Caenorhabditis elegans: one gene and its partners. The protein of the gene in region 2 purifies or fractionates together with the protein of the main gene of each other region. This does not show direct contact. Each region holds a gene or a part of one and is shown on either strand. Other genes may lie near its edges.

The links.
Region 1: the proteins of ttr-6 (region 2) and ZK154.1 fractionate together in Caenorhabditis elegans (co-fractionation; one large-scale study listed by BioGRID). This does not show direct contact.
Region 3: the proteins of ttr-6 (region 2) and Y105E8A.11 fractionate together in Caenorhabditis elegans (co-fractionation; one large-scale study listed by BioGRID). This does not show direct contact.
Region 4: the proteins of ttr-6 (region 2) and bbln-1 fractionate together in Caenorhabditis elegans (co-fractionation; one large-scale study listed by BioGRID). This does not show direct contact.

Annotation. Positions count from the first base shown.
Region 1 is NC_003284.9:7,775,711-7,783,475, reverse strand, and holds ZK154.1 (Apple domain-containing protein), read right to left. Parts: upstream 3,900-7,765; 5' UTR 3,851-3,899; coding exon 3,752-3,850; intron 3,683-3,751; coding exon 3,499-3,682; intron 3,398-3,498; coding exon 3,292-3,397; intron 3,243-3,291; coding exon 3,149-3,242; intron 3,103-3,148; coding exon 2,956-3,102; 3' UTR 2,869-2,955; downstream 1-2,868. Other genes in the region: ZK154.5 (Flocculation protein FLO11-like), read left to right, coding at 1-39; ZK154.4 (uncharacterized protein), read left to right, coding at 1,066-1,195, 1,850-2,001, 2,060-2,134, 2,786-2,863, 5,828-5,908, 6,102-6,197; mec-7 (Tubulin beta-1 chain), read left to right, coding at 6,910-6,966, 7,022-7,149, 7,271-7,765.
Region 2 is NC_003284.9:6,594,519-6,601,865, forward strand, and holds ttr-6 (Transthyretin-like family protein), read right to left. Parts: upstream 2,604-7,347; 5' UTR 2,600-2,603; coding exon 2,519-2,599; intron 2,462-2,518; coding exon 2,389-2,461; intron 2,324-2,388; coding exon 2,052-2,323; 3' UTR 1,907-2,051; downstream 1-1,906. Other genes in the region: fbxl-4 (F-box domain-containing protein), read left to right, coding at 140-509, 1,072-1,230, 1,286-1,478; hic-1 (Lens fiber membrane intrinsic protein), read right to left, coding at 3,528-3,635, 3,682-3,820, 3,879-4,044, 4,093-4,183; F23G4.1 (Claudin domain-containing protein 1), read right to left, coding at 7,040-7,158.
Region 3 is NC_003279.8:14,428,102-14,435,753, reverse strand, and holds Y105E8A.11 (BolA-like protein 3), read right to left. Parts: upstream 2,964-7,652; 5' UTR 2,962-2,963; coding exon 2,790-2,961; intron 2,233-2,789; coding exon 2,084-2,232; 3' UTR 2,004-2,083; downstream 1-2,003. Other genes in the region: hpo-13 (Non-lysosomal glucosylceramidase), read right to left, coding at 4,071-4,335, 5,320-5,775, 6,744-7,212.
Region 4 is NC_003284.9:3,147,946-3,155,703, forward strand, and holds bbln-1 (Bublin coiled-coil protein), read right to left. Parts: upstream 4,517-7,758; 5' UTR 4,508-4,516; coding exon 4,375-4,507; intron 4,325-4,374; coding exon 4,176-4,324; intron 3,656-4,175; coding exon 3,560-3,655; 3' UTR 3,203-3,559; downstream 1-3,202. UniProt on the Caenorhabditis elegans protein: Dynamic component of the endotube in intestinal cells, interacts with intermediate filament and regulates intestinal lumen morphology.

The DNA of each region.
Region 1 (7,765 bases), 1.2 Mb from region 2:
TTGATGGAGGAGAAGAAACCGGAATCATTGCTCTTGTGAATATCAGATAAAGTAAGTTACAAAAACTTGTAGTCAGAGACTTTTTCAAATTATTTTTTTCAGACATCCTACACAGTCACCCTCCATTTCAATCTTCAATTTGAATTTTTCCTCATTGAATATATTTTGCAAAATTAGCTTGTTCAAAAATTTCTTGCTCTGTATTGTCATGTCATATTATTTCAAATTACACTTGTACTTGAACAAATTATTTGTTTACTCTTTTCATAAAGTTTTATCAATTTTTAAAAAGTTTATACTTTTACACTGATAGTTGTTTTTGTGTGAAAAATGAGTAAAATCAGAAATGAAGTGTGGTGACACGATGGATCACAAGAATTTTCATCTTAATCGGGATCCCCTCTACGAACGCAAAAATCGGAGTAGCGAAAAAAAACTAGCATGGAGTGTAGAACAGTAAAATTGAGAAGATCAAACGATAAGCCAGCTACACATAACACAGTGGAATAATGCGAATTTCAAAGTTTGCTTCTAATGAACATTTCAATATTTTTCCAAAAGTTCAGTATTTGCTGATGGCTAAGCCTGCAATAATTAGAGTTTGAATCTGTTGTGAGTATATTAGTTACTCTTCCTCCTTTTCCTTTAACTCTCGGTTTTTGCAATTTTTGTTAAGTTTATACACCTGTGTGTTCTAAAATTGAACAAAATCTCACATACTCCTTCAAATAAACAATTGGTTTTCTGTGATGACAACTCCAAATCAATAACTGATGTGAGCCTCACCCAACAGCCTCATGACTACTCGTTATCCATCTACCTCTCCCGTTTGGTGTTACTAGTACACTGTGAGAGTATTTGCGGTCAATGTGCCCCATTTGACGACCATTGTCTGCGTCTCTTCTTTCTTGCCATTGTATCACTGGCGTTTTTTCACCGTTTCTGCTATTGGGCACTGAGAGTTCTTGTGGACTCTCACGGTTTTCCACAATATTTGTCGTTTCCACTTGCGCTTCTTCTCCTCTTCCATTTTCCATGGAATAGATACAATCTATGCGAGTTTAGATGTCAATTGTTCGGGCAGTATACGTGTCGACGATGCGTCTCCTTCAATTGATTATTGCTTTTATTCGGAATTTGTGCAATGGGAATCGCAACAAAAAGCGCATGGATGTGGATGACTTGCCGTTTGAGGGTAAGCTTTTCATTAAAAATTTTGAAAATAAAAACTGAAGTGTTAACGTTGAAAATGTTGCCAAAAGTGGCAAAGCTTCTAATGTGGTGCAGGAATAAAAGAAGATAAATACAAAGAGCTCTTAAAATTGAATTTTCTTTTATGGGTTGCTGTCTTCCGATACCGTTTGTTACTTGAAGTCTTGACATCAAGACCAGCCACAAAAAGAATTGCAATTTTTCACATATGCTTTTCTTTTTTTTTGCTATTAAGATTTTAAATCAAAAAGCCGTTATTGAATGTGATTTTAAGCGTTGTCAATATTTTTGGCGCTACAGTTCAAGAGGTAAAGCTTTACCAGCATACGAAGAAAACATTGCTGCCTGGGTGTCAGAACAAAATTCAATAGGAGACCCCCTTAAACTCCTGTTTTTTTTAAATAATTGTATACACCAAGTATAGTAAGGATGTTCAATTTGTGTGAAAAGTATATGGAGCGATTGAAATAAACTGGGTTTTTTTCCGGGTTGAGCAAAGTTATTGTTTTATTTTTTCTTTTTTTTCTCTGTTTTGCATAGTAGAAACAAGTAGAATATATATTTTTCATTTTAAAATCAAACCGCAGCCTAAAAGGTCAGGCTAAAAGAAAAGCACCACTTTTATAAAGTTTTTCAGTGGTCGTCGACAACGGTCGTACAGAAAGGAAAGGTGAAGAACGAGCATCACTGCTTCAAAATGAAGTCACCGATTCGTGGGGAGACGATGACTGGGATAAAAAGGAAGAAGTGAACGACAAAATTGAGCAATGGAGAAACAGTAATGCTCAGGTGAATTCAAAAGCAGGCACAATACATACAATCTATACCGTGTTTTATTTAATTTCAGAAACCGGACACCCACACCAAACCAGATGACGACTTGTTTAGCACACTAGAGCCAACTATTACCAGCGCCAGAAAAGTATGTATTTTAAAGAAAAAAAACGTTAGTCTCAATTATATTGATGAAAAATCAATTCAATAAAATTAAAAATGTGAGAATAATAAATTCCACACGAATACTAAAATTGAATGTGAAACAGCATGCTAACTAGTTTGTAATATTTTCAATATTAAATCAAAATTTTGCCATTTGTTGCTTCGCTCTTGTCACTTCTCAATAAAGTCTACCAAATTGTATTGTAGCAATTGTTTTTCAGAACTCGTTAAACGTTATAGTTTAAATAGTATATTTTACACTTTTTTTGGAACATTTGATAATTATCAACTTTGTTTAAAACTTCATCTAGACAGAAACTAAAAACAAAAAATTCAAGGCAGAAGATTTCTAGTAATTTTGCAAACCACGTTTAATTAGAACTTGTCTAGTTCTCTTTTTTATAAATTCCGCATTTTAAATGTTTTCGTTTGGTAGTTTGAATCATAATCCCAGCAAGAGGAAAACATGTAGCATTCAATTTTTTCCCTTGCAAATTAGTCTCTGAAAATACAAACCAACTGAACTGAAGAAGTATTTGTACTGTGAAAATTGCAACGCAAAATAATTGTTTTTACAATGCATTCTGATATTAAAAATACTTTTTCCAAACTGGGAAAATTAATTTCTTTCCAGGTTGTCTTGGCCCCACGAGGCGGGTTCCGTGATACGGCTCCCAAGAAAAGCAGATTTGACTTTAACGAAGCAAATGTGGTGAGTTTGGGTTGGTTTATATATTTATTAGGATGTCAAAACAAACAATGTTTATACATAAATAAGAGGTACGCTGTAGATGAGATAACTAGTTAATTGAGGAGCTTCTTGTTGAGAAAATCGTCTTCATTTTTCACTTCCGTCGGTGCTTCTGTCGTTGTGACGCCGTTCTCATTAGCAGCCTTATCAAGCTTTCCCTTGATTACATTGAATCTCTTCTTTTCGAATTCACTCATCTCCTGTAACATGGAATAGTAAGAACAGTTAACTATATTAATGAATTACATCAATTTTGCAATGATCCCTTTCTGATTGATATTGGCAAACTTCAATTGTTACATCAACACGGGAGCTTCCGTCGCGTTCCATTTTAACGTCACTAAAAAGTGATTGTTATAGAAAATGCTAGTTAACTAGAGAATGCTTACCGAATGTAGTGGTTTGGTGCCAACACCGGATTGGTTCTGATGGATGGACCAAGGACGGAAATGGATTCGGTGTCTCTCCAGATACACTTTTCACGACCGCTGCTGTCTGCAAAACGCAACATTTTGGTCGTGTTAATCTTGCGATGGCAGCTAGTTTTTGAGTTTCTCGCCGATGTGAGTCTTAGTCACTTGTTACATTATCCTCACCTGTCTCCACTCTAGTAGCCAATGAAGCGCAACACAAAACCATCAAGGATTTCGAGTTGAGGAGAAGGCCAGAAACGAAAGTGCGACGTCCGCGGAAAGTGGAGAACGACGTATGTTCATTACATTGCTTGCGCCATTCGCATTGCACCGCACACGTATATGGGATGAATTTGGCACAGATCGCCTAAATTGCTGGCTTTTAGAAGAGTTTGATAATTAGAAAATTCTTAGAAGTATGAAAATTCTGACTTACATTTGTGGACTCGTATGAGAATAATTTCTGGCCAACATAACATTGAACTGCCGAATAGACAACAGTAGGAAGAAGACACGCTATTACCAATTTCAGCATGGTTCTGAAAAAAGCTTTTGAAATATGTGGTTATCTTGAATCCGATGGCAATTGAAAGAAGAAAAAAATGCAAACAGAATGGCAGAATGGGACGGGTTTGTAAATGAAATGAAGTTGGAAAAAGGGGGGGGGGGGGTGGAGATTCGTGAGATTCAAATCTTGCAATCTTTCACAAAAGGTGAATTCGTGAATTTGTGAAATAAAGGCGTGAATGATAGGGGAAAAGTGATTGTTATCCCGGTTTGGGTGTCTGGCCGGACGGGCATTCTTCAAACATCAAGCGATAAGACTAGTTTCCAGCTTCAGTGATATAGAACTGATTATACTACTAACGCGCGTTAGCTACTGTTTAGTTTGGCTAAGGTCGAGGTCAAGGAAAACTGGATCTTTAATTGCATCTTGGGACAAATACTTTTTTGTCCAGTGAGCCTGATTGTGTTAATATAGTTTAATAAAATTTTAGTGTAATGGCATCCGAGCAGATTTCACGCGCAGAAAAATATGAAGTGAATGGCGGATTATGAAGAAGTGAAGGGCTTCTCTGTGAACCTTAGAACCTGTTTCCGATGGCCGCGAGTTGTGCCCGCCCCTCATCATATCTGAATTTAACCTTTCATGGCCGCCCGTTTCGTAAACGTAAACATGCGCAGCAAAAGATAAGGATAGAAAGTGAATACAGATTCAAAAATGTGAAATCGAATGGCAAGTATCTTATCGTATAGTATTTTTCGTTTAACGAGGAACTAACAAGCCACCAAAAAAGCGGTATTTTTTATCTGGCATTCAGCTGGGGGTGGAGAACGTCATGAAATTACGTTAGGTACGCAACATGTATGACCATTTTACACGGTTGTACTATAGATGTTCTAAGAAAATTTGTATTGTAATATGTCATGAAAAATTCAGATAAGATAATTTGATGAACATACATTTCACGACGTTGAGCTTTTGATACATGGCTTTCAATTAAAGTTAAGCGCAAATTGCGTTCCAAACAGTATAGTAAATTTCAAAAAAATACCAAATTGAGGATTACATTCTAATTGAGAAAACAAGTTATTTAGTTTTTTATTCGATAAAGAAACGAAACAATTGTTCATGACGCTGCAAATGTTTGGAATGAAGTTAATTTTTGTTTTTTCTAATGCAACCAACTGCTCTCATTATTATTTCTTCTAACCGTATTGCACCCTACTACTTGACTTTTAACAGTTATCCTTCTGCTAACTTTAAATTAAAACCTGAAACAGATTGAACAATCTGTTTCAGGTTTCAAAAGCATTTTTTCATGAACGGATTAGTGCTGATATGTGAACAATCATAAACGGTACAATTTGATTTACTGTGGGCTTTTGAAGAGAGGAGATATACAAAAAAACATTGCTAGGAAGAAATCACCAATTCGATTTACAATATATATATATGGTCAACCTAAACGTAAAACATTGAATATTATAAAATCAAAATTAATTCACGATGGACCGTTTTTGAACATAACTTTTACAAGCTTCATCATGACAATGATAATATGACGATCTTATGATTTTGCTTTCACAGTGTGCGAGGAAACGAGTAAACAGAATAACGAAAGAAGAACAATATACTCGTTCTGCTAATCAGTGTAGTCGGTATTCGATTGTTCTCCTCCCCTAATTTTTTCCACGGAGAGTCCTGTTGAGAATGGATTCTTCAGCTAGCTTCAACAGCTTCTCCTTCTTCTTCTTGTCTTGTGTCTGTTTCTACTTCTCTATCTAGTTGTTCGTCAACTTTTTATGAATAGCCGCCAATCGGTCGGGACGGCGGCGCAAATTGCGGGAAAGAGATGCCGGGGACGCGCTTGACTCTTTTTTTTTCTCGCGCGTTCACAAGATTTCTGGGCGATGGAAGAGGAGACAAAAATTCTAATGACAAAAGGTGTCGCTGTGGTGATGCAGGAAAAAGACAAGAAAACCTGATTGCAATCCATTTTTTTTTCAGGGAGCTACGCCGACACTTGGAGATATCGATGATGATCTTCTCGGATGGGGTGATGACGATTTGGATAGCACCTTGAAAGAGGTATGTACTTTAGAAAATAGTTTTGAAAAAATATTACCTATTATCAAAAAAAATTCCGTTCGTCGTTTAGCCAATGATGTATGAAATTTTAAGCAAAGAAATTGATACTCAAGACAGCTCGCTGATTAGAAAAAAAAAACAAAAATTATGTAGTAATCTAGAAATGTAAACCTGTCATTTCTGTGTATTTCAGCACCGCGAAGAGCACCATAAACAGCTACAACAAGAGCACGAACGTCGGCTCCAACAGAAAAAGCTGCAAAACGCTGGTACTCACCACATGCTCTGATAATTGCCATTTCCTTCGATTTCTGACTTTCAATTGTGATATGATAACCTCAAAATCTCCATTCAAAATGAAAACTCTTAAATTTAAGAGCTTTCAACACCCCGCACTTTCCCACCTCATCGTTTTTCCCTTCTATCTTATCAATTTTTTGTATTTTGTGTCAGTTTGCTATATCCTCATCACCTTTTTTACCGTTTAATCTCTCTATAGTATTGTTCGGGTGTTTCAAGATGAAACGTTTTGTGTGTAGCATTTTTGAAACACAGCGCGAAAAATGCAGAAACTATCATCCACAATGCATTAAGTGCACTCATTGTGATGACTCCTAACCCCCTCGCCCCACCAGTTGTCTCTTCACAAATTCATGGCACAATTCAAAAATGGCTTTTTGTGTTGGATCTTGATCTCGTCTCTTTCCTTCTTCTTTCGTTTCTCTCGGACCACTCATTATTCGAATGCCATGCATTTGTTGATGATGCGCAGCGATGGTCGCACACACTACAACAGATATGATGGTGGCTGTGCGTGGTGCAGAGCTCATGAATAAGTGATGGGGCACCGAGATGTGACTCCTCCCATTATTCGTCTTGAGTCGCATCTTTTGTCTTGGTCCGTTGTCAGTCGAGCCTCAAGGCAGCCGTTCCGCCAGTGATCGCCTGCTAAGAAGTTGTAGGTGTAGAGGAAGAAACGTCGGGTCCAAATTTCAAGCAACATGCGCGAGATCGTTCATATTCAAGCCGGACAATGCGGTAATCAAATCGGTTCGAAGGTTAGTATTTTCAGTTATAATGTTCCTAGTTGTGCTTTATGCCAAGCAATTTCAGTTCTGGGAGGTAATATCCGATGAACACGGCATTGACCCATCTGGCCAGTATGTGGGAGACTCTGATCTTCAACTCGAAAGAATCAACGTCTACTATAATGAGGCCGGAAGCAACAAATATGTTCCAAGGTATAGATATAGTTTGTTTTGTCATAATTTTTCATGAAATTATTTTTTGATCTAGACGTTTTCCATGATTTTTGACATATACCGATTTTGTCCACCGTTTACCTAACTGTATGTTTTTCAGAGCTGTCCTTGTTGACTTGGAGCCAGGAACCATGGATTCTGTCCGTTCTGGACCATTCGGACAACTTTTCCGTCCAGACAATTACGTATTTGGTCAAAGCGGTGCTGGAAACAATTGGGCCAAAGGACACTACACCGAGGGAGCAGAACTTGTAGACAATGTTCTTGACGTTGTCAGAAAAGAAGCAGAAAGCACAGATTGCCTTCAAGGATTTCAACTTACTCACTCACTTGGAGGAGGTACTGGATCTGGAATGGGAACCCTTCTCATTTCAAAAATTCGCGAGGAATATCCTGACCGGATAATGAACACCTTCTCGGTAGTTCCAAGTCCAAAAGTATCCGACACTGTAGTCGAACCCTACAATGCCACCCTCTCTGTCCACCAGCTTGTCGAGAACACCGACTCGACGTTCTGCATTGATAATGAGGCCTTGTATGACATCTGTTTCCGCACTCTGAAACTGACGACACCGACATATGGAGACCTTAACCA
Region 2 (7,347 bases):
AAATAGCCCCAAAAGACCGAATATTTTAATAACACTTTAAAAACAAATAAATTAAACTTTTTATTTCAGATTTTTACAAAATTTGGTAGTATTGGGTCATTTTGGACCAATTTAAGCAGAAAAAACTCTACAATTTTAGAACTCGACAACAACATTGTCAAAATGGTGGACTGGGAGAAAACACGCATTGAAGAGCTTGACATAAAAGGTACCGAACTAAATTCCGACGCGCTTATCTCAATTCTCACTCGGCTCCCTCATCTTCGTTGGTTGGACGCCAGTTGGTTGGAATGCATGACTGATCAAGTATTGGAAGCATGGCAGAACTCAAATGCAATGGGAAGCCTGCAGTTCTTGAACATGGATACATGTGATTCGATCAATGAACAAGCGCTTGTTGACATGATCAAAAGACACGGGCACCAATTCCACGGACTTTGTCTGGGAGGACAACACAAACTTCTTGAGTATTTTTGGATGAATATGATCCCACAATTGAGAAACATTAGGTAGGATGTAAACAAGAAAATACACAGCGCATCACATCAAACACCAGAAATGATATTAGAAAAGTTTATTGAAAACTGAAAATCGGTGACCGTAAAAATCAGAGAAGAAAACGTTAATTTTTCATTGAAAGTAGTTGTATTTCAAAGTGTAAAAAGTGTAACTCAAATGATCTTATAAAGATGACCTTCAAATGTCCTTGAAAATTTTAATAGATTCTAACTACTGTATTTCAGGTCACTTTAAGATTTCCGAAAAAAATGAGTGTTTTGAAGAAGAAGAACGCTCAATTAGATTTCATTACAGAATTTAGAAATAAGAAAAGCACTGAACCACAAAAGACCAATTTGAAAAAGGAGAAAAAAGTACACTGAATTTTTTCTGATCAGTTTTTTTCTGATTCAAAGTGCCGCTAAATTTTTTGTAGCAACCTATTTAAAAGGTCCTTTTTCAAATGACATAATTTGCTTTAAAAAAATACTAAATAATAGCAAGTAGTTGTTATGGTAATACACTTCAAAATTGTACCGGAGTATGAAAGGAAGCGCTACAGAAACATTTCAGAGTAATGGTTATGGGAATAGCTGAAGACTGCTGCCCAAAAGTGGTTGCAAAAATCCATGTTGATCAATTCGTCGACTGTATCGCTCAGAATTGTCCAAGACTGACCCGTCTTGAAGTGAGATGGGACGATGAAACTCTTAGATTCTCAGACAAATCGAGGTAAAATACATCAAGATTGAAAACTATAATCTTCAATAAAGCTAAGTTGTTCCAGTAAATTCATTGACGTGCTCCGTATGAAATGTCTCATGCTTCATTCAATTGTTCTTTCCGATGGGCAATACTATGAACTGGTGCGTAGCAACTTTGAGAGGGCAGATCGAATGTCGGTTGTTAGGACAACAGAAATGTGCCGTACTGGACTACTTCATTGCTCCAGATACTTCAATAAACTTCTCTTTAACTGAACACTCTCACTTTTATCCTTTTTTATGAGTTTTAAAATTGTATGTTTAAAATTTTTATTTTCGATGATGCATAGGTCAAATTTATATGTATATGTAACTGTGATTTCATGCTGATTATTACAATAAAATGATACAACTTAATCTTTAAAAAAATCCAAATTGAATAGAAAATAAATCAAATCGACATATATTTTGCGCAGAAAAACAGTTTTATTAACTAATAAGGAAAAACTAACTAACATTTCTTTATCTCCTTTTCAGTTTACCTGAGTGAGCCAACATAGAAATTAATTATCTTGCAAACTACTTTTTTGAAAGCAGAGCAGACATTTCGATTTCTAGAGTAATGGTGATGGGTTTCTGAACTATGATGCTTGAAACGTAGTAGCAAAAACCCACGTTGAACAACTATCATCTTTTAAAGTTTTAAAGTTGTATGTTTAAATTATTATTCGTTTTTGATGATAGGTCAAATTCATAAATATGTAACTTTGATTTCAAGCAGAATATTACAATAAAATGTTACAATTTATTACAAAAGCCTATAAGTCAATAGAAGAATAAGACAAAAATTTAGTGAATACAGTCACGGCTCTCTCCTGGGTATGATCCGGCAAGTTGAATAACTCCAGCGTCATAAACCTTCTTTGGGACCTTTCCTGACGAGGTGTAAGAATCTGGGATCTTGATTCCAAACTTTCTCTGGCATGGCTTAATTCCGTCATTGCAGTCGTGGTAGATGTTCAGCTTGACGTCAATTGGGGTATATTCCTTAGTCCATCCGGCAAGGTGGAAGTCTCCATTTCCATCCGTGGTTCCAGAATCGAGAAGATCATCAGAATCCACTAAAATTTTAAATTATAGATATTCTTATTTACAAGTGTGCAATTAAGTACGATTAATAACTCACAAGTATCCTTATCCCACAGTTTTACCAAAACTCCAGAAGCTGGTCGACCATCACAAATCAACTTTCCACGAACCTGAAAACAAACTTTAAATTAAATACTAATAAATTAAATAATTGTCAAAAAACTTACAGCAGAAGACTGATCGCGACCAAACATTTCGATGGAGGCAGCAACGCCGAAAAGTGCACAAACAATAAGAACTGAACGCATATCTGTAATATTCACAATTTACTAAAATAGAAGAATGAAAAGATAATCGAGAGCTGTTAGTTACAGGACGTGAAGAATCTGTTGGACAATTACACAGAATGAGGAAGAGAAGGGTCCTAAGGGGCGTCTCCTCCATCTGCCTGCCAGTGTTTTCAATGTTCTTTTTATGTGGGTCCACGGTGTATTATGGCGGGATCCCGAGGACAGCTGCTCGTCACATTAGACACAGAAAACAGAAGAGACGATGAATCAGAGTCAAGGAATCAATGTATACGACATCATGAGTCAGCTGAAGAGCTCATGAAACTATTCTTCACGTCAGTTTTTTTCTAAATGGAATTGAGTAGTGCCCGAGTCATAAAATGAGTCATACCTATCAGAAATGACGTCAGAAAAACAAAACAAAAGGTACAAAGTATTCATTTTTTGGAACATCAAAATTGCGAAATTAAACCGTTTTCCAGAAAGTTAGTAATGCACGTTTGAAACAGTATCTCACAAGATCCTATTAAGCTGGTGCATTCAAAAGTCGGGTAACTCAGTCCTTCGATGTTTTTGGGTAAATTTCCTAATATTTCTTTTTGGTCCGTATGAAAAAAATTTCATACGATTTAATAACTATCATCAAAAGTGAACTCATGATACGTAACTTTAATTTATAGCAGGTAACAAGTAGACATAAACACATGATGCTTTTCTTTGTTGAACATTTTTCGATTGTATTCCTATTTTTATGTTGAATGTATTTTGATAATATATAAAAATATCAATTAAAAACGGATTCCTTTGTGGGCCGTACAATAAATTTTTATTTCAAACTCAAAGTTTTCCATTGATTAGACGAATTCAACTGAGCTTGTACAATTGTCAATACTGTTTATTTTGTCATGAATAAAGCTTTTGCGTTAAGTATGTTCAAGTTAAGTATTTATCGGTATTCCGAGTATGCTCCATATCCAGTTGCACTTCCAGATACTAGTAGTAAAAGAAATGAAAGAATTGTAGCAGCCAAAGTGATTCCCCATGACCATCCGAGCTGAACAATCACACTTTTAAAAAATTGAATTTCAAAACTAATTTACCTTTAACGAAATCAATGCGTTGTAATAGAAGCTTCCAATATTTGCCGCGAATACAATGATGGAAATAAGAAGTAAAATGAATATGATCAAGGAGAGAAGAGTACACGCTGCATGAACCGGCATCATTCTTCGGAAAACTCTGTAAAGTAAAATGATATAAGTTGTCTTCAATTTCACTTGTCTTAAACTTTACTTACATTGCAGGTATGACAAGAAGACAAAACAAGAGCTCAAATGAGAATGCCATTAATTGACAAACCACGACACATTGCAGCCACCCCGCACTTCTTTGGAAACTTCTGTTCGCGCCTGCCTGTCCCCATTGATAAATTCCCATGTGCAAGTTTCCAGAAACACCCCAATCTAGGAATAAATTTCGCATTTCAGGGAACGACAATTTGCCAAACTTACAATTTGTAAAAGTTCCCACTCCGGTTAGTATTGTAACAATAATCAGAAGGCCAGCAATGGCGAATGGTGCGTGATGGTGATGATGATGCATTTTGTGACTGAAATTAACATTTTTTAACCGGAAAAATACTTACAGAAAAGATAAAAAAGATATAACAGGTAGATCAAATTATACTTACGTCATTGTGAAATAGTTCAGAGTAGTTTGTGGTTTGAAACTTTTTACGTAACTTGAGAAAACAGAAACTAAAAAATCGTAGGCATCCTGAGCTAATTTCATTTATTTTGTGGCAACCCACTCGGATTCGTAAAAACTTTAGGACATCATTCGATTTTATGTAATTTAGGAAACGTGCAAGAACATGTTTTCTGAACAAGTAAAAAATAGAAAGCATTTTTTGAAGTCAGATAATCATTTTTCATGCTTATATAGTGTACAGCGGTTCAACTCGACTTTGTGAGATGTTTATCTGGAGTGAGTCTAGTGGCTTTCGATAGAATTTTCTACCGGCATTTAAAAACGTCATTACTTGGTTACTTTAGTTTATCTAACTCCTTAGGTTAAGTTCGAAACAATCCTTACGATAGGATACAAACTAAATCTGTATAGAAATAAATGGGAAATAAATAGGAAAAAGCTTTTTTGGAATCTTTAACTGAAATTATTACTTGAAAAAAAATTATACTTTACAAAAAGCTCGATATACAAAGCTTTAAGTGTGACAGAAACTGCACAAAACTAAAATTCGACTATTTTTCTCGTCAAATAATAACAAAGATAGAAGATCATCCAAATGCCGACCTTTCCTGTTAGTTGACATTGGATAGACTGAACTATATTTCTTTTTGATCCACTATTTGAATATGATCCACAATTTTGAAATGTCCGCCTCTTTGTTTGTTCAGTGAAATCATAGTGATAGAGTTTTCGTGAAAAAAAAATCCTCGCCCTACAGTTTGCTCTCTCATGATTTACCATGTGTGAAACTTTAGTGTAAATTGTCGCGCAAGCTGAATGATTCACTTCATGAAATCGGTTTATTCATAAAAGTATACAACGACTTTATCGAAAAAGGTGACAATATGAAAGAGAGTTATGCATATTCATATTCAGAGTCGTGATTTCACAATTGATACAAATAAAAATGAACAATTTTAAGAAATATACTAACAGGTCAGAGGAAAAGATGACACAGACAAATGCCAAGTCACGAACTAAGAAATAAAGCATCACGCACGAGCATTTTACATCGTGAACTTCCAAGTGGCCATCGCTTCTGGAGGGAGCGACGATGAAGTGTAGCCCATATTGCTGTTGAGAAAGATTTGAACGGTTTCAAGTGATGTGCAAAGAATTGAGATGATTATGACCAGGACACTAACTAGGGAGTGTTTTAACTATGTGGTGCGATCGGGTAAAAGTAAACGTGTTATGCGATAGCTGGCGTTTTAGGCTTTCAGAATCTGTGATTTGTTTCGGCAGAAGACCTCTGTGAGTCTGGAAATTTTCATCTGAAAATGTAGTACTGAAATCAGTGCATTTCCTATGGTTAACAGTGGATTTTGTCTCTGGCGCCAACAGAAGTCTCACCACAATGGTGGAAGGGTGAAATCATCGCTTCGGTGGTCGAGTGGTGAACGCATTCGCCTCTTGAGCAAAAGTTTGTGGGTTCGGTTCCCACACATGGTTTAAATTTTGGCCTTTTTTTATACAAAATTTTTAGAACGGGAAACAAATGTTTAAAACAGTTTTTTGAGGTTTTTACATTACTTTTTTGCTTTTTGATTGAACCACAATTACCCTGGAAACTTTTCAGAAATTTTTATTTTTTCGAAAATTGCCACTTTTTTCTCCACCAAACTCCACCAAACCATGAGAAAATTGGTTCCAAAAATTTTTTTTGAAATTTTTTCAAAAATGTATGAAATATTGTAGAGTGTCACAAATAACTTATTTTTCATTGTTTTCAATGACCGAATCACTTATTCTGATGCCGTATCAAGACGTTTTACCAAATCGATATTGGCAAAACACCTTGTCTTTGAGACTCCATATCTCCGCAGGAAAAAATTGCGCTTAAAAGTGATCAACTGAAAACTTGTTAAACACAATGTGATCTAAAACTTTTCAGTTAAACACTTTTTTGTAAAAAATTTGGTTGCTGAGATATAGACCTTTAACTATTTAGAAAATTCAAAAATAATGAAGCTCAAATCAATTGGTTCCAACTCGGCAACCAAATTTTTTACAAAAAAGTGTTCAACTGAAAAGTTTTAGATCACATTGTGTTTAACAAGTTTTCAGTTGATCACTTTTAAGCGCAATTTTTTCCTGCGGAGATATGGAGTCTCAAAGACAAGGTGTTTTGCCAATATCGATTTGGTAAAACGTCTTGATACGGCATCAGAATAAGTGATTCGGTCATTGAAAACAATGAAAAATAAGTTATTTGTGACACTCTACAATATTTCATACATTTTTGAAAAAATTTCAAAAAAAATTTTTGGAACCAATGGTTTGGTGGAGTTTGGTGGAGAAAAAAGTGGCAATTTTCGAAAAAATAAAAATCTCTGAAAAGTTTCCAGGGTAATTGTGGTTCAATCAAAAAGCAAAAAAGTAATGTAAAAACCTCAAAAAACTGTTTTAAACATTTGTTTCCCGTTCTAAAAATTTTGTATAAAAAAAGGCCAAAATGTAAACCATGTGTGGGAACCGAACCCACAAACTTTTGCTCAAGAGGCGAATGCGTTCACCACTCGACCACCGAAGCGATGATTACACCCTTCCACCATTGTGGTGAGACTTCTGTTGGCGCCAGAGACAAAATCCACTGTTAACCATAGGAAATGCACTGATTTCAGTACTACATTTTCAGATGAAAATTTCCAGACTCACAGAGGTCTTCTGCCGAAACAAATTACAGATTCTGAAAGCCTAAAACGCCAGCTATCGCATAACTCGTTTACTTTTACCCGATCGCACCACATAGTTAAAACACTCCCTAGTAAGCCAATATGACCAACCAAGATGGCAAAATACTGTTAGACCATCGTAAACATACGTTTCTGAAAATGTATATTTTCCAAACTTCGTTGCTCAAAACTTATACTTTTATATTAACCAGTTAGTTTAAAAAGTGTGTGCAGTTGAAAACACAAAGTACTTCAAACTTTCACATATTTTATATTGTCTGAAGTAGGCTTCTTCATTGAAGTTTCAACATAAAAGCTTGGTGAGCGATGGTTTATCAGTAA
Region 3 (7,652 bases), on a different chromosome or scaffold from region 2:
GTATCTTGCCGATTATCCGGCAGCAGGTGTCCTCATTATGTTTTCCTATGGCTACCCCTACCTCGTCTCCATTTCCAATTCTCCGTTTACCCCCAAAATCTCTACAAAATGCACTACAAATCATGGATCGCGTGGATTTGTAAGCCATTTTTTCCCCTTTCGATTATCAATTTTTTGATCCCAAATTCTTTTGCAGATTCTACTTCTCATTCGTCTCACAAAAGTGCAAAAATCTGGCAATAGCTCAGAATATGAAAGGATCCAGTATAAACGTGATATTTGTCCCGAGAGTGGAACCGATTATCCACATTACTGTCAGATTAGCAGACGGAAGTGTTGCTTTTTTCTATGCTGATGAGCGACTTGATGAAGACGGAATCACTGAAAAACTTTCAAATACTTTCTCAATACGCTACCCAAATGGATTAAGTTCGACGTCTGTCTGAAAAATGGAAAACTCTAAAAATTGAATTAAAAGTGCTCATTAATCATTTCCAAGCATTATTTCATCTATCAAAGATTCAAAAGCTAAATCCCGGCGAGCCTAGATCGGAATCGATTTATCCAGCATTTGATGGGATTAAGATAGAAGTATTCGAATTATCTTTATGTAGACCCCTTCCCTACTTTGTCTGGAAACGAGAATTCGGAAATTTTCTAGATACTGTCCAGAAGATACATATCAAGTGCAGGGATACTTCTTATGACAGCAATTCTCACATGCGGAAGGTATTATTGGAAAATCACGATTGTGTAGAGTTCCTTAGAATGGAAACTTCGTTATTATGGATTACAAACTCCACTATTATAAAACTAAACTACCAAATTAAAGCCCATCTCTTAAATGAGTTCTTCAAACACTGGATTCATGGATCAAACCCAAGGATGAAACTTTTCGAGGCTCTCATTGAAACTAGACACTTGAAATTGAAAAAGTATATTCAAAAAGTATTCAGTGGTATCAAGTACAAAGGAAAATTGTCTTTCAAGCGAATCAATGGAGTTATTGAGAATCAAATATCTATTGAAGGTTTTGACGGAAAACTCGCAACAATTGACATAAACATCAATGTTCGGAGGATTTTAATGCAAATGTCTGTGCAGTTTTAATTTTGATACTATTGTAAGGATACCCACCCTTTTCACTTCACATTTTACATAAATAAATACTAATTTATTTGCCTGTAAATTCTCTCTGATAATTTACAGAAAGAACGGACGAAATCGGTCAAGGACAACGATTTCTACAGCGAGGACAATTCGTGTGGAGGAGAAACTCCAGTTCAAACCGCCGCCAAGCTGTCGTTGGTCGCATTGTCGCGTCGAGACCCGTCGTCGTTAAAGGCTGCGCCTTTAACCCGGAAATGCCTATATAAGGAGAGGAGGACGCTCATTTGTCATCATTTCTTAACTCTTTGACCCGTTACTTGTCGTTTTCCCTTTTCTCTCGTTTACTCTGTTTCGACGATGCAATTCGTCTGTTCCCTTTTACTTAATAAACCCTTATAAGATCGATCAGTGTGCGTGAGTGGCAGTTACATCCTATACCTTTATTCTATTAATAAAATAATTCTATTGATTTGATTTATTACCGATTAAACTCGTGATGAAATAAAATAAGAGTTGTATTGTATAAAGACATGGATAAACTAAATACATAATGTTGTACAAAAACAGTATTAAACATTCTTAGAACTATTATATTCTGACTATTTTTTGTTCAGATCGAAATTTACAGGCTTATCTTCTAGTCCGCCCTTTTTAAGACTTCACACAATTCAGGCCTATATTTCGCAAAATTCAGCAAAAAAACTGGCGTCATGGTGCATCGACTATCGATTTTTCGTAATTTTCAGCCATTTCTAACCCATTTTTCAGATATTTTCCCCTTTCTCCCAATATTTTATCTCATGTGCATCGAATCCATTGGTAAATGATCTCCTGATTAGCGCGCGCGAATTTCGATTTTTTTGCAAAAAAAGAGATCTACAATATTCAAAAAGTTCGAATTTAAAATATTCTTTACGATATTATGTCCTTTGAACTAATCAATAACTAGACAAAAAAAATCGATAATTAGTATCTAGGCGGCTTTTGTCTTGATCGTGAGCCCATGCATATCCTTAATCTGCTCCCGGAGAATGGAGGTGACCTGTTTGTGTTGAGCAACTTTCGATTTTCCCTTGAAACCGGCGGCTTCAACGACCACGTCGAACATTGATCCGCAGCCATCTGTAATATGGAGCTTGTAGTTTGTAGTGTATAGTTTGTAGTTTGTAGGGTATATTTTGGAGTTTGTAGTTAGTTTTGTATAGTTTGGAATTTATAGTGTACATTTTATAGTTTGTAGTGTTTAGCTTGTAGTTGGTCGTATACAATTTGTAGTTTGTAGTGTATAGATAGTAGTTTGTGGATATATTTTGTAGTTTGTAGTGTATGGTTTGTAGTTAGTGTTGTATAATTTGGAATTTATAGTGTACATTTTATAGTTTGTAGTGTATAGTTTATAGTTTGTAGTGTTTGGCTTGCAGTTTATATTTCGTAGTTTGTAGTTTGTAGTTTATAGTATACAGTAACTAACTTGTTTTTCATTATTTCTACCATTAATTTTGTGAGCGGAACAAAAAAATCATGAATGAATACCCCACGTATAGACTACAAACTACAAATATTAGTCTGATTATACTAGTTTATAGTATGTCTATTGTAGTTTGTAGTGTGATTATTGTAGTTTGTAGTGTATATTTTGTAGTCTGTAGTATGCCTATTGTAGTTTGTAGCGTACTCACTAGAAACATCGTGAACCTCGACACGAGTACATCCATCAATTCCCTCAGTGAGCAACTTGCTCATTTTCAGCTCGGCTTCTGACATTTTGTGCTCTCCACCACAACATGCCGAGTGACGCCTGATTGCTGAGGAGAGGAGGCCTGATCTCAGTGGGGTGGCAAGGCGGAGCATCTGAAATTTCGAGAAATGATAGCTTTTTTTTCGATTTTTTTCAGATTTGGAGAGAAAAAAAAACAAGAAATTTCACATTTAAACAAAAAATTTGTTATTTTTTCAAATTCTCGAGGTTTTTATAAATTCTGAAAAATGCCGAAAATTCGTAATTTTAGCTTTTTTAGTTTAAAAATTAGAAAAAAAATTGAAATTTTCGAAAAAAAATCAATAAATGTTCTATTATATATTATTATTATATATTTTATATATTATTAAATATTATTATATTATTATATACTATTATATATTATATAATAAATGTTACATTTGTTCTATTTTTCAAAAAAGTAATTAAATTTTTTTTTTTCGAAAAAATTTTCAAAAAATTCAAACTTTTTTAAAGATTTTCTAGAATTCAACTTCGACAAAAATTCGTAATATTTGAAAATTCCAAAAAATTACCAGAAAATGCTTTAAAAGTTAAAATATTTATCTAGTTAATTAGAAAGTATTCCTTTAGCGAAATATTCAAAAAAAACTTTTTTTAATCAAATTTTTCAAATTTTACATTCAAAAAGTCACCTGCAATGCATAATTTACATTACATGAAATTGAATTTTTTTGATTTTTTTCCCAATTATTAAGCTTTTAAAAATTAGCTTAAAAATACAGATTGTCAACATTTTTCAGAATTTTTTTGTTGAAAAAATGCGAATTTTCTCAAAAAAAAAAATCAGTTTCAAAATTGTGAAAAAAAAATTCTAAATGGTTTTTTTTTAAATTTAAGCTTCCGTGATTACTATAACATTTTCAAAAAATTGAGGAAAAAATTCAAAAAATGTTTTTAATTTTTCAAAAAAAAAAGCTCATCCTAAAAAACACCGTAATTAGCTAACTTTTTCAAGAAATTCAAATTTTTTTTCCAAAAAAAAAAAAAAAGGCAAATAGCATAAATTGATATCCTAAATGGACAACAGAAAATATAAAAATCAGAAAAAATTTTTCAAAAAAATACTTGTATTGCATTGTAAAAACGTCATTGCACAATCGAAAATTCGAAAAATAAAAGACCACGTAAAATACAAAAAATCGGGAAAATATCCAAAAAAATCAGTTAAAAAGTACAATTATCGTAGTGTAGCAATCTTTGGAATACTCCTCTCATCATGATAATCACTAACATATCCTAAACTCGAACCATCTTCACTTGTATCCCCTAATATTCGTTGTTTCTGTACTTGAATTGCTGCTTCGGATTCCGGAACAACTTTTTCATTTTTCACCAAATTCGGCAATTTTTCTTCACTCGTATTCATTCCACAATGCTTTTTTAGTGACCATTGCATTGCCCAAATCGATAGAGGACGCATGTAACCAATGGCTCGGTAGAATCTGAAATTCGGATATTTTAGGATTAATTTTTGGGATTTTTTAAAGAAAAAATGTTTGGAAATAAAAAAAAAATTCCAAAATTATTGTTTTTTTGGATATGAATTTTTTGTTTCTATTTTTAAAAATAAATTTCCATTTTTTGGAATTAGTTTTATGAATTTTTGCTTTTTTGAATATCCAAATTTTTCTGGAATCAAAAAAAAAAAAGTTTTAATGTTTTTTTTTAATTTTTTGTAAAGTTTCAAACTTTTTTTTTTGGGATTACGAGTATTTTTGGAAGTTTGAAAAAATAATTTTTGATTTTTTTGGATTTTTTTCTAATTTTTGAATTTTTTTTGGGATTTTTTTTAGAAATGTGTGGAAAATTTTTTTTTTTTTTTTTTGGAAAAATCTATTAAAAAAAACAAATTTCAGTTTTTTTTTTCAACAAATTTCTTTTCCTCACAATTTTTTCGATTTTCAGTTTTTCGAGTTCAAAATTCGGGAAATTTAAATTTATCGTTTAATGTTTTATAAAACGTATTATATGAACACTAAATATGCGTGTTGCACAACACATTTAACGCGCAAAAAATATCTCGTAGCGACAACTATAGTAATTCTTTAAAATGCTACTGTACTGCTTATGTGGATTTACGGTAATAATTTATTTCACGATCAAATATGACTTACGAAAACTCGAAAAAAAAATTCAATCCGAAAATCGAGCCCGTAAATCGACATTAAGAAGTTACTGTAGTTTTCGCTATGAGATATATATATATACGCATTCTCAGAATTTAGTGTTCCCGTAATCATATATACATATACATATACATATATACATATACATACATATACATATACATATACATATGCATATGCATATACATATACATATACATATACATATACAAATACATATATATATATATATATACATATAGGACTGCTCCATACTACAAACTAGATAGTTTCTTCTTGAATTTTCAACATCTCACTCACTTCGATTCATAAAGTGCTTCAGGCGTCTGATATTGTAGTCCAGTCTCCTCAAAACATGTCAGATAACTCCCCGACGCCGTATGAAACGCCTTTTCCACTTCTCCCTGTTGAATAAGTAACGATGCAACTGCATAAGTAACACCCGTCCACATTTCATCAGCCTGAATGTACTCCCGATCTACGACTCCTGACGGTTTCATTCCATTTACTGCACCCATTCGTCCGTTTCCAAATTTACACACATTCAATCGATAAATCGTATCCAACGCTGATCGGACCATATGATTCGGGAGAAGCTCGTCGGCTAGTTCAGGAGATACTGATTGAAGGAACCAATAACCACATAGTTGATCAGCCATCACTGTTTCTCTACTACGGGATCGCTCACAGAATCGGAAGTAGGTTCCTGTCCATAGAGTGTCGATGAATACCTTTTTCGCTTTTTCGAGAGTATTCCTGAAAAAAAAAATGATAAAGTAATGTATAAAAATCGAAATATTTTCCGATTTTCCGATTTTCTAAATTTTCGTTTAAAAACTTCATTCGCAAATGAAAGAAAAATTGCAAAAAAATTCACGTGTTGTCAGGTGTTGTCCCATATCGGTTTGATCTACAAAAAATGCGGGAATTCAGACGTAGACTTCTCAACTGATTTCGCATGCCGACGTCACATTTCTTTGTGGAGAAATTCCCGCATTTTTTGTAGATCAAACCTTTATGGGACAACCTGACACCACGTGAAAATTTAAATTTGAGTTTTTTTTTAAAGTTATGGTGTTTTTCAGAGAAAATCAAAAAATCGGAAAAATGGAAAAATTTTAATTATAAAATTGACGTTTTCCGATAAAATTAACTTAAATGTTTGAATTTGTTTCATTTTTATGATTTTACAACGAAAAAGTCCGTAAAAATTGGTGAAAATAAAGATTTTAGCTTGGAAATTTCAATTTGGTGAGGCTAAAACTTTGTAGTTTGTAGTCTGAGCCTCAACCAATACGTTTTTTTTTCGGTTTTTGAGCATTTTTCCATTAAACTCAACTTATTTTGATAAATCTCTTGTTGTTCTTCAATTTTTTTTAAATTTTCTAACAAAAAAAAACAACAAAAAAAAACGATTGGTTGAGACTATCACTACAAACTACAAAATTGTAGCCTCACCAAACGAATTGTTATGCTCAATTTTAAAGTTTCAGCCTATTTTTACGATTTTTTAAAAACTTTTTCGAGGAAAACGCCGAAAATCATGTAAATTTCCGTCGAAAACGCTCAAAAACACAAGAAAACTTTTGGTTGAGGCTCCGACTACAAACTACAACTTCGCTCAGCCTCACCAAACTCGGGTGTCAAGCAAAAACCGTCATTTTTAACCAATTTTCTTCCAATTTTTTTGCATTTTTCATCAAAAATCAATTCATTCCGCACACCTGAACAGCTGCTGAGTCTCATCATCCTTCATAAGCCCGGCCATTTCAATAGCAACTCGAAGAGAAGCGAGCCATAAGGATCCACAATACGCACTAACACCCTCCATTTGCCACGCATCATAAGTCTGATCTGCTTTTCCGAAGTTCTCAATCATTCCATCGCCATCTTGATCCCAATTCTCCAGTGCTTCAAGCATAATCATCCGTACCGCCGGCCACGTATGAAATAGAAAATCCTCGTGTTCATTCGAGAGGACTACGTAATCTCGCCACGACGTTAATACATACTTCATATTGAGATCTTTCCATTTCCCAGTATCATGCATCACATAGGCATTTGTGGCAATCCATGGCTCATCGGCGGGATTTCCGAGGTCATGAGGTACGCGGCTAGCGGTTTTCACGTTCGCCCAGTCTCCTTCCATATGGAATCTTGTGGGTTTTTCGATTGAGTGATATACTTGGTCGGCTGCAATTTTATAATGTATGTATTATATATTGTACTATAATTATTGTAATAGTATATATGCATTATGTATTTATTATATTGTATTATCATTGTAATGCAATTATATTGCACTGTTATAAAGTATGCGCTTTATATGTATTTGTAAGGATTTTCCGGTTCCCACCTCTCCAATATAAGAGCATTACTTCAGTCTAGTTTTCCAGGTCCAGCAAGTGTCGTCGTAGCGAATGCATGTCTGCATTCGGCCGTCACCGCTGCCAACAACAACGACTAGGCCTGCTACCTGTCTACCGTACTCGATGCAAACGCGCCCCGTTGGACGGCGCGCTCAATTCGCCTCGGATTGCTGCCCGCCAATCCTCGTCAACCAGGAGTATAAAAGACCGTCGTCACGCTCATTCGAGGTCTTCTCTAATTCCTTTTACTTGTGTTACTTATTG
Region 4 (7,758 bases), 3.4 Mb from region 2:
GAATGACCTTGAAATTGGAACAGAAATAAAATTGGAAAGTCTTGTAAATAAGGAAAATTGCTAACTGTAATGGCGGCGACATTGGTCAATTACACTTATTTACTAAATCGAATGACCTCAAGCACTGTGACGTATTGCCACACTGATTTCAAATTGAAAACTATAGGACAATTGACATTTTTCAGGGATTCTCGAGTAAATGTCAAATTTCTCTCAATGATCATCCCGAAAGGACAAAAATCCAAAAAAAAGTGGCTTTTCTCACGTTTTGAGCTCTAATACATTGTACATTTCCAAATATAAAAAGGTTATTTATAACACAGCAAATCCTCTTTAGGGAGAAAATAGGCTATTTCTACTTTTAGTTACTCTGCTTTTTATGATTTTAGAGATTGGTTGAGGTGAAATATCACACATCACCAAATAAAATATATATTTCTAAAACTAACTGAAAAGCTAGCAATTGAAGTATGCTACATAGAGGTGCGCCGGAATTGCTGAAACCGCCGATTGTCGAAAATTTTAGAAGTTGCTTTTTTCTATAAAATAACATTAACTCTATAAAATAACAATATATTCACTTGCTCGCAAAATTTCTACTGGTAAATTTAGTTGTAAATTTAGTTGAGCCAGAACATACGCTCCGTGAGTACACAGAGTCGTGGAAACAATTTCCACCTCATTTTTCTACAATTTTCCGTGGAACTGTAGTCGTACTAAAAAACAATCGATCAGATGTCCCCCATATTTTCAAGCCAACTTTACTTGTTTTCCTGGTAAGTGTAGCGTGGATGTAACCCAACATAAAAAAATTCAGTGTTCAGTTTTAAAAAGAACTTAAAATAATTTATTGTGAGCTAGTGTTACTTCAGCCTTTAATTTTTCCAGAAAATCATTGGAAATTTATTTGGAAATTTAGTCCAAAATGTGCTACCAAAGGCCTAAATTTTGCACTCTAAAAATTTATAAATTACGTAAAAAAAACTATAGAACGTTTCTAGCGTAAAGTTTTAATTTTCAGATCTACAAATAAACAATCTTTTAAAAAGTCACAAAATTGATTATACTGTTCACAGTTCAGGCAATCATTTTGATAATTATCTTTGACCTGTATTAGGATATCATGTTCCGTGAATATGATAAAATATTTTAGTTTTTGTCCTATCATCATTGATGAATTAACACTACGGGTTTTATCACATGAAAATCAAAGTGCACTGGCCTTCGATCCCCATATTATTATCAAAGAAGCAAATATTGTTGTAAATTCAATTTTCAAGGGTTATCTCATTTGATGAACCTAAGGGTATATGACTTGATGATTTTTTTTTGTGATACAAACCCTGTACTTAACAAGAAACATTATTAGTTACAAAAGGAGTAACGCTTCTGGGTATTTTGAAATTGTAGCCCCAAAACTTGCTCAAATGAACGAATTAACTATATTCTCCAATTTTAATCATTTTGTGTGTTGCAGCGGTTCGAAATTGATTTGTTGTTGTGAACTATTTTTCAAAATTTTTTATAGACTTTTTGGGAAGTTTCACTATGAAATTCGTTCATTTGAGCACTACCAAGCCTTAGTTTTGTGTAGATACCATTTTCATAATTGCCAAAAAAGAAAATCCCATTAAAAAAATCCCACTGATCGTTCAAATCTTCAATCCGCAACTGTTGGCTTCTCGAAGTCTAAGACAATGCTCACAATCGGATTTGTATCAAAGTAAAATAGATTATAGCGGTTTATTTCTGGATGGACTTAGATTCGAAAAAGATTATTCGGCTTGAAACGTGCGGCCCTGTATTGACTGAGAACGATTATCGTCTGCTTTGTTTTAATCATGAGGATTTGGAGTTTATAAGCAATGCAGCTTTCAGAATGAATTGAATTTCTTTTTTTTTTCTTAAAAGAGAAATGTTAGTAAAGGGGGTGAATGTTTTGCTTTTTCCATAACTTTTTGTATATTTTCGCCAAAATTAAAATATTTTCACTTTTTTCTTACACGCTTAATGTAAGGCTAAATAAGTTGTAACACTATACCAATAAACACATAAAACCAGCCTTATCACAAACTCTGAAAAAAAATGGAATGTCTGAGAAAGTTGAGTCATAATATGAAACTAACCAGACAACATCAATCTTTTTTCCTTTTTCACAGGCAATTTTACCAACCAGACATCCAAAAAGGACAAAGTGTCTACTTGAAATATCTACAAAGAAACTTCTAGCGTCCTAGAGATCAACAACTGGATGTTGTAGAAAGCAAATCATTTCTAAAAAACGAACACAAGTTCGGGATATTGTCAACACTTTACCCGTGTACAGGTGTTTTCAGAAGGGCAGATGCCGGTTCTGATATCCACGTGAATTCACCTTTTGGGTGTCAGATGTTTCTTGGAGTGTTTTCTAAACTTACGACATCGTCTAGACAGATTTATTTGTCTTGGATTTATTTTTGCGAAGAAAATTGGAAAAATGTCTGTGGTGTGTAGTGGAGAAGGAGGGAGTACAAACCTGGAAAAGAAAGCAAAAATAATTTTGGAAAGGGAAGTTTGATGATTGTAGAAATTGAATTGAAATTTTCAAACTCAAAAATTTACAGTTCAGGTTCAGTTTTGGTTCATAATTTTCGGAATTAATTATCCTTAACGGTGGAGTAACGCCAGTGGGAAAACTTCTTCACAACATGTCTATGGCTTTACAGTGCCAAAATATCATAGTTTAAAAGCTCAATTGAAAGGCATTTTTTGAAAATTGGAAAAACCTCGGTTTTTGCCAATTTTTTGGAAATCGTCGATCAGAAAACTGTTCCTTTGAATTTTAAAAAACAAACACTGTAGAAATCTGGAAATGGAACAGAGCTATAGTTTTCTCAAAAAGTGTTTCATTCAATTCCACCTTGTTAAGTAAGCTTTAGCTTTAGTTAGCTGAGTAAGCTCTGAGAATTTTTTTGAATTTTTTCCAATCAAGTTTTTTCATTGAGCTTCCAAAGTACATTTATTTTTCACAAATTTGCATGATTATTTTCATTTCAACGCCAAACGATCAGATAAACAAACTTGAATATCAAACTTTTACGGACTACAAATATCACTACGCATTCTTGCGGAAGGATCAAGATATCATAGATCCCTTCCAAGAACAAGAGTTCATTCTGACTCTTATCAATGTGTATACGGCATTGACAACGGTGTTCCTGAACAACAATAACCTTTTATTCTAAACATCATCTCAATGCGGTGCCACATGGAACGCGGCGTTGACTTTATTTCCAAACATATTTGCATTGAATTCGGCGAACGATCAAAGCTTGAAAAGAAAAAGTTAATAGTTAAGTGGTTAAGTGGTGGAGAGCGGGGGACAGGGGACAGGAAAAAAATAAGGAAGTTCGATTAAAAAAAGTGAATGAAAAATATAGAGAACGAGGAACCAAATCATTTTCCAACAGTTCGTATCGAAACAGCTTTAAGGTTAAAAATGTGAATGATTTGAGGATGTTGTTGGTATGAAAGTAATACATTAAATAGTGTACATGTACCAATTGAAAAGCATTCTGGTTTATTTTTCGGTGCGTTTGACAGATTGAACTCTCTTCAGGATGCTGCTCATTTGCTTTTTGAACTCCTCATCTTCAGATTGATTTTGGGACATACGCTGCAAAAAAATACCGGTTACTCATTTTTTTTTTTGCAAAATGTTCTGCGATGTTTAGTTGTTTAACTTTCAAAACTGCAGTTCCCACGGTTTCATTCATTCAAAAAACTTTTTTACTATGTCTAAACTTTCAGGGTGTTTTAGTAAATTTTTGTTATGTTTCACGTGAGAAAATACGTGGCTTTCTAAAATTTGTTTTCGAGGTTTGAAAGTATGGATGTTTGGACTTTAACCCTAAGTTGCAAATGATAAGGGAATGAAAACATTTGATTTAGTGATTGTGCAGTGAATCTTGTAAGATTTGGTCTTACTAAGATTTGATTTTACTTTTGTAAAACTCTTACCCACTTCAAAATAGACACAGAAAAAGTTTTGTCTAAAGTTTTTCAAAAGCTAGGTGAAACTGAATAGTTTAAACTACGTCTTGCGCAACTCTTGCTCAACTCTTGCCAAACTCTTGCAAAAAGCTAGAAGAGCGAAATAGAGGTGCTTTTATCTTTCCAAATTAAAATATTCTTACCTCGTGGAAGCTGCGACGTCTCTTTTCGCGCTCTTCCTTCTGCTGCTTCAACGTCTCCATCATTCTGTCGTTGTGTGCCTTCAGACGCTCTTCCATCTTAGACATGTAGTCATTAAGATGATCAAGCTGGGTGTCCAGCTTGCGAATTTCTGAAAAAAACCAATGCTATAAGTAATCTGAATCTGAGAAGAGTTTTCACCTTCCGTCTCCTCGGTCACTTCTCCTTCGTTGAGTGCCTCAATTCCACGAGCCAACGCAGAATGTGCAGCAGCGTTGACATTGCGGTCGCGCATCTTGACAATAGGCTCTTGCTCTTTCTGCTCAACGACCATTGTGTTCAACTGAAATGAGGAAATGGAGAAAAAGACGATGAATTATGTCGTTGTAGGCGAGCACACATTGACGACAGAATGAGTAACTTATGCAAAGTTTGTAAAAATTAATTAGGTAATTTGGTTGGAGATGGGTGATGATGATGGTGATGATGTAATGCATGTATCAAGATAAAAAATGCAGGAAAAAAAGAGACAACAGCAATATCGAAATTTTATATTGCAATAAGGGGGTCTAATAAAATGGAATGAAGGGTAGGGTAAGGCATATGTCAAGGGTGCTGGTGAACGTTTTTTTTTCTGGGATGCCACCTTTTGAATCCGGTCTTTGGGAGGAGAACTACAACAAACCAGCGAGGACAGGGAGGCAAAGGAGGAAAATGCGACGCCTATGAAAATTGTTATCTTTTCGAATTAGAGTCAACGTAAATGCCACACAGTTCTCCTCACTTTTGATCAAGGCGTAGCAGTTTGAGAATTCAGTGGCCTGGGGTGACAGAAATGAATTATAAATTATGACAAAGTCAAATAAAACTGCCTCCGCAAATCAAAAAAAAAAGAAAGAAAAAGAAACTTAAATTTTGAAACTAAGTACGTATTTGTATTAACACTTGCCTCCTCCTCCTCTTCAATTCACCTATGACTCAAACCGGTAGACATTGGTGAAATAGAAACATTCAACAAATACCTGGAGAAAGCCCCACTAGTTGTGTGATGACTAAACAGCATGAACAATTAGAACGTATAATTTAAGAAAAATAGAAAATCGTACAGTTTCGTTAGAAGAGAAATGACCGACGGCGGGCGTCGCCGAGTTATCAGCCAACAATTACACTTTTGATGGTGATTTAAGATAAGGCGTGGTTATGGAGCCTGTACTGACTGACCTGTGTGTGTTGTACGCTTCACTTTTATAACCCTTTATGCCGATTTCAGTGGTGATAAGGAAGCGTATGGAGAACTGAAGAGATTATGCAAAAGTTTGATGGCGAAAAGAGAATAGGAAGAAAATACTGTTATGGTTTTTACGGTGCAACTGAGACTGAAATTTCAAATTTTGAATCATGTTCAACTCGGTATAATCTGATAATAAGTGCTAGAAAATGTCGTGATTTTATTAAAGTGCAAGAAAAGTAAAGAAGTGTATGATTCTTGATTTCGAAATACTGCCCAAATGCAATGTGTTATTTTTGGGTTTTTTTTCGTTTTCCGCAATTTTTCCACGCTTTGAAATGTATGTTAATATATAATTAATTCACATTTTAGTATTTTAAATTTTAGATTTTAAAAATTCTCGCTATTGTTAAGTTTGAAAAACGACATATTTCATAAAAATGACTACAAATGTGAACAGACCTGGTATAAGTTCACTTCACTTTTAAAAAAGAACTAACGGAGTATTTTCTCGTAATAGTCTCAAAATGCGCTAAGATGAAACAATTTTTTATGAAAATTTCTAGAAAGTTTTTAAAATTTTCTAAAAATCGTTGCAAAGTTTTGAAAAAATTATGCTACTATCCTAAAATTTTCCAACTTTTCCGTCGCGCACCGGTTGGAAATTGATGTTTTCCAAATTCTAGTCTTTCATTTCATATTTTGATTGTTCATCCTACGTTATTTTGCTGATTGAAATACGTTCAATGCTGATAGGAGACCAAAATGACAAAAATTGATCACCTATTGGCTAAAAGTTAACTTATTATTCCAAACTTATTCCAAGAAATAACGTGAGTGAAAATACCAAAATATGCAATAAGAAATTACCATTCAAAAACGTTAACTTTCGACTGCTGCGTCAGGGAAAATTGGTCAAAATTGGAGATTTTGCCTAAAATTAGGGATTTTTTGCAAAATTTTGAACCACTTTTGAACAAATGGAAAAAAAATTTGAAAAAAAAAGTTATAAGACGGAATTCGTACATTTGAGTTCATTTTTGGTGTATACGTTTGAAATACAAATGTGATTTTAAAAAATTACTACACATGGGAAACATACTAAAAATATATGGTCACTGCACTTTTAAACTACTAAAATTCAAAAGTGAAGCAGCTTGAAAAAGTTAACTAAGTGATTAATCAAAATGTTTTTGCATCGTTTTTTAATGTAAGAAGTGAATAACAAAATAAAATCACAATCTACAACCGTAATACTAAGATCACTGTGCGCCATAAATTTACTTGGTAATGTTTTTCCTTCACGCCTGGCGCAATGTTTAATCTATCGATCACTCTGATAGTTCGACACTTGGTCGACATAGACCGGAAGAGCATAAAACTTCCTTTTACCATTCCTAGTTACGTCAGATGATTTTATTGGGGCGAGACATGACGCTTCTTCTTCATTTTTTTTTTAGCTACTTACCCTGTTAAAAATCGAAGTCAAGCGGTGACAAAAACACAATTTTGTGAACATGGGCAAAGGAAAGAATTAGGCAACCAAAAAAAACAGTGAACAGGAGACTTGATTTCGGGGACGACGCGGCGCGACTGGTGTGCTCAGCATAACATGAAAACGAGACAGGGAGTGCCCCTCGATGCTTACCGTTGAGCTCATCTTTTGATGGAGAGAAACAGTGGGCGGACAAGGTTTGCCTCCGTCATTAGTCATTTTGCCCTTGTTGGCAAATATGGTTTTTGACTAGGGGCGAATTTTTTCGTTTTTTTCTCCTTCAAATTTCACAACCTAAAATTTAGTTGGCGGAAATTTGATCTAGATTGAGTAGTGCCTGGTTAAAAGATTGAACAAAAGGACAAGAGTGAATCAAAACATTACATTGGGTGTGGCACTTGTGTGAATGAATAAGAATATATCTCGTTGCCATCTTCAATTCTTGACGCCCTAATACTTAATACCGAATGCGCTAAATGCCAAGGACAAACCGAAAAATGCAAAAAAAAAAGAAATTCGAGGACGCAGAAGAAATGCGATGGTTCCAGAAACTACTGGAAAATCGAAAGTGAAATGAAAAAGAAGAGGGGTTCAATTGAAGTATTATTATTAGTTTGTGAAAGCGAAATTTCTGTTCTTTCAGTTTCGTACCAACCAGTTCAAACTGTATAGTATAGAACTTTGATTACGTCACCATTTACTCTCCGCTTTATGAAAAACGATAAGCAGTGCTTTTGAATATTCGGAAAACAAAATCGCCGTTTTACCTAAATCGTACACATTTCATGACCGTTGGTTTATACGTCAGTGATAGTACTGTTCAAGTATCTGTTGGTTTTGATAAGCAAGTGTACCGAAAAAT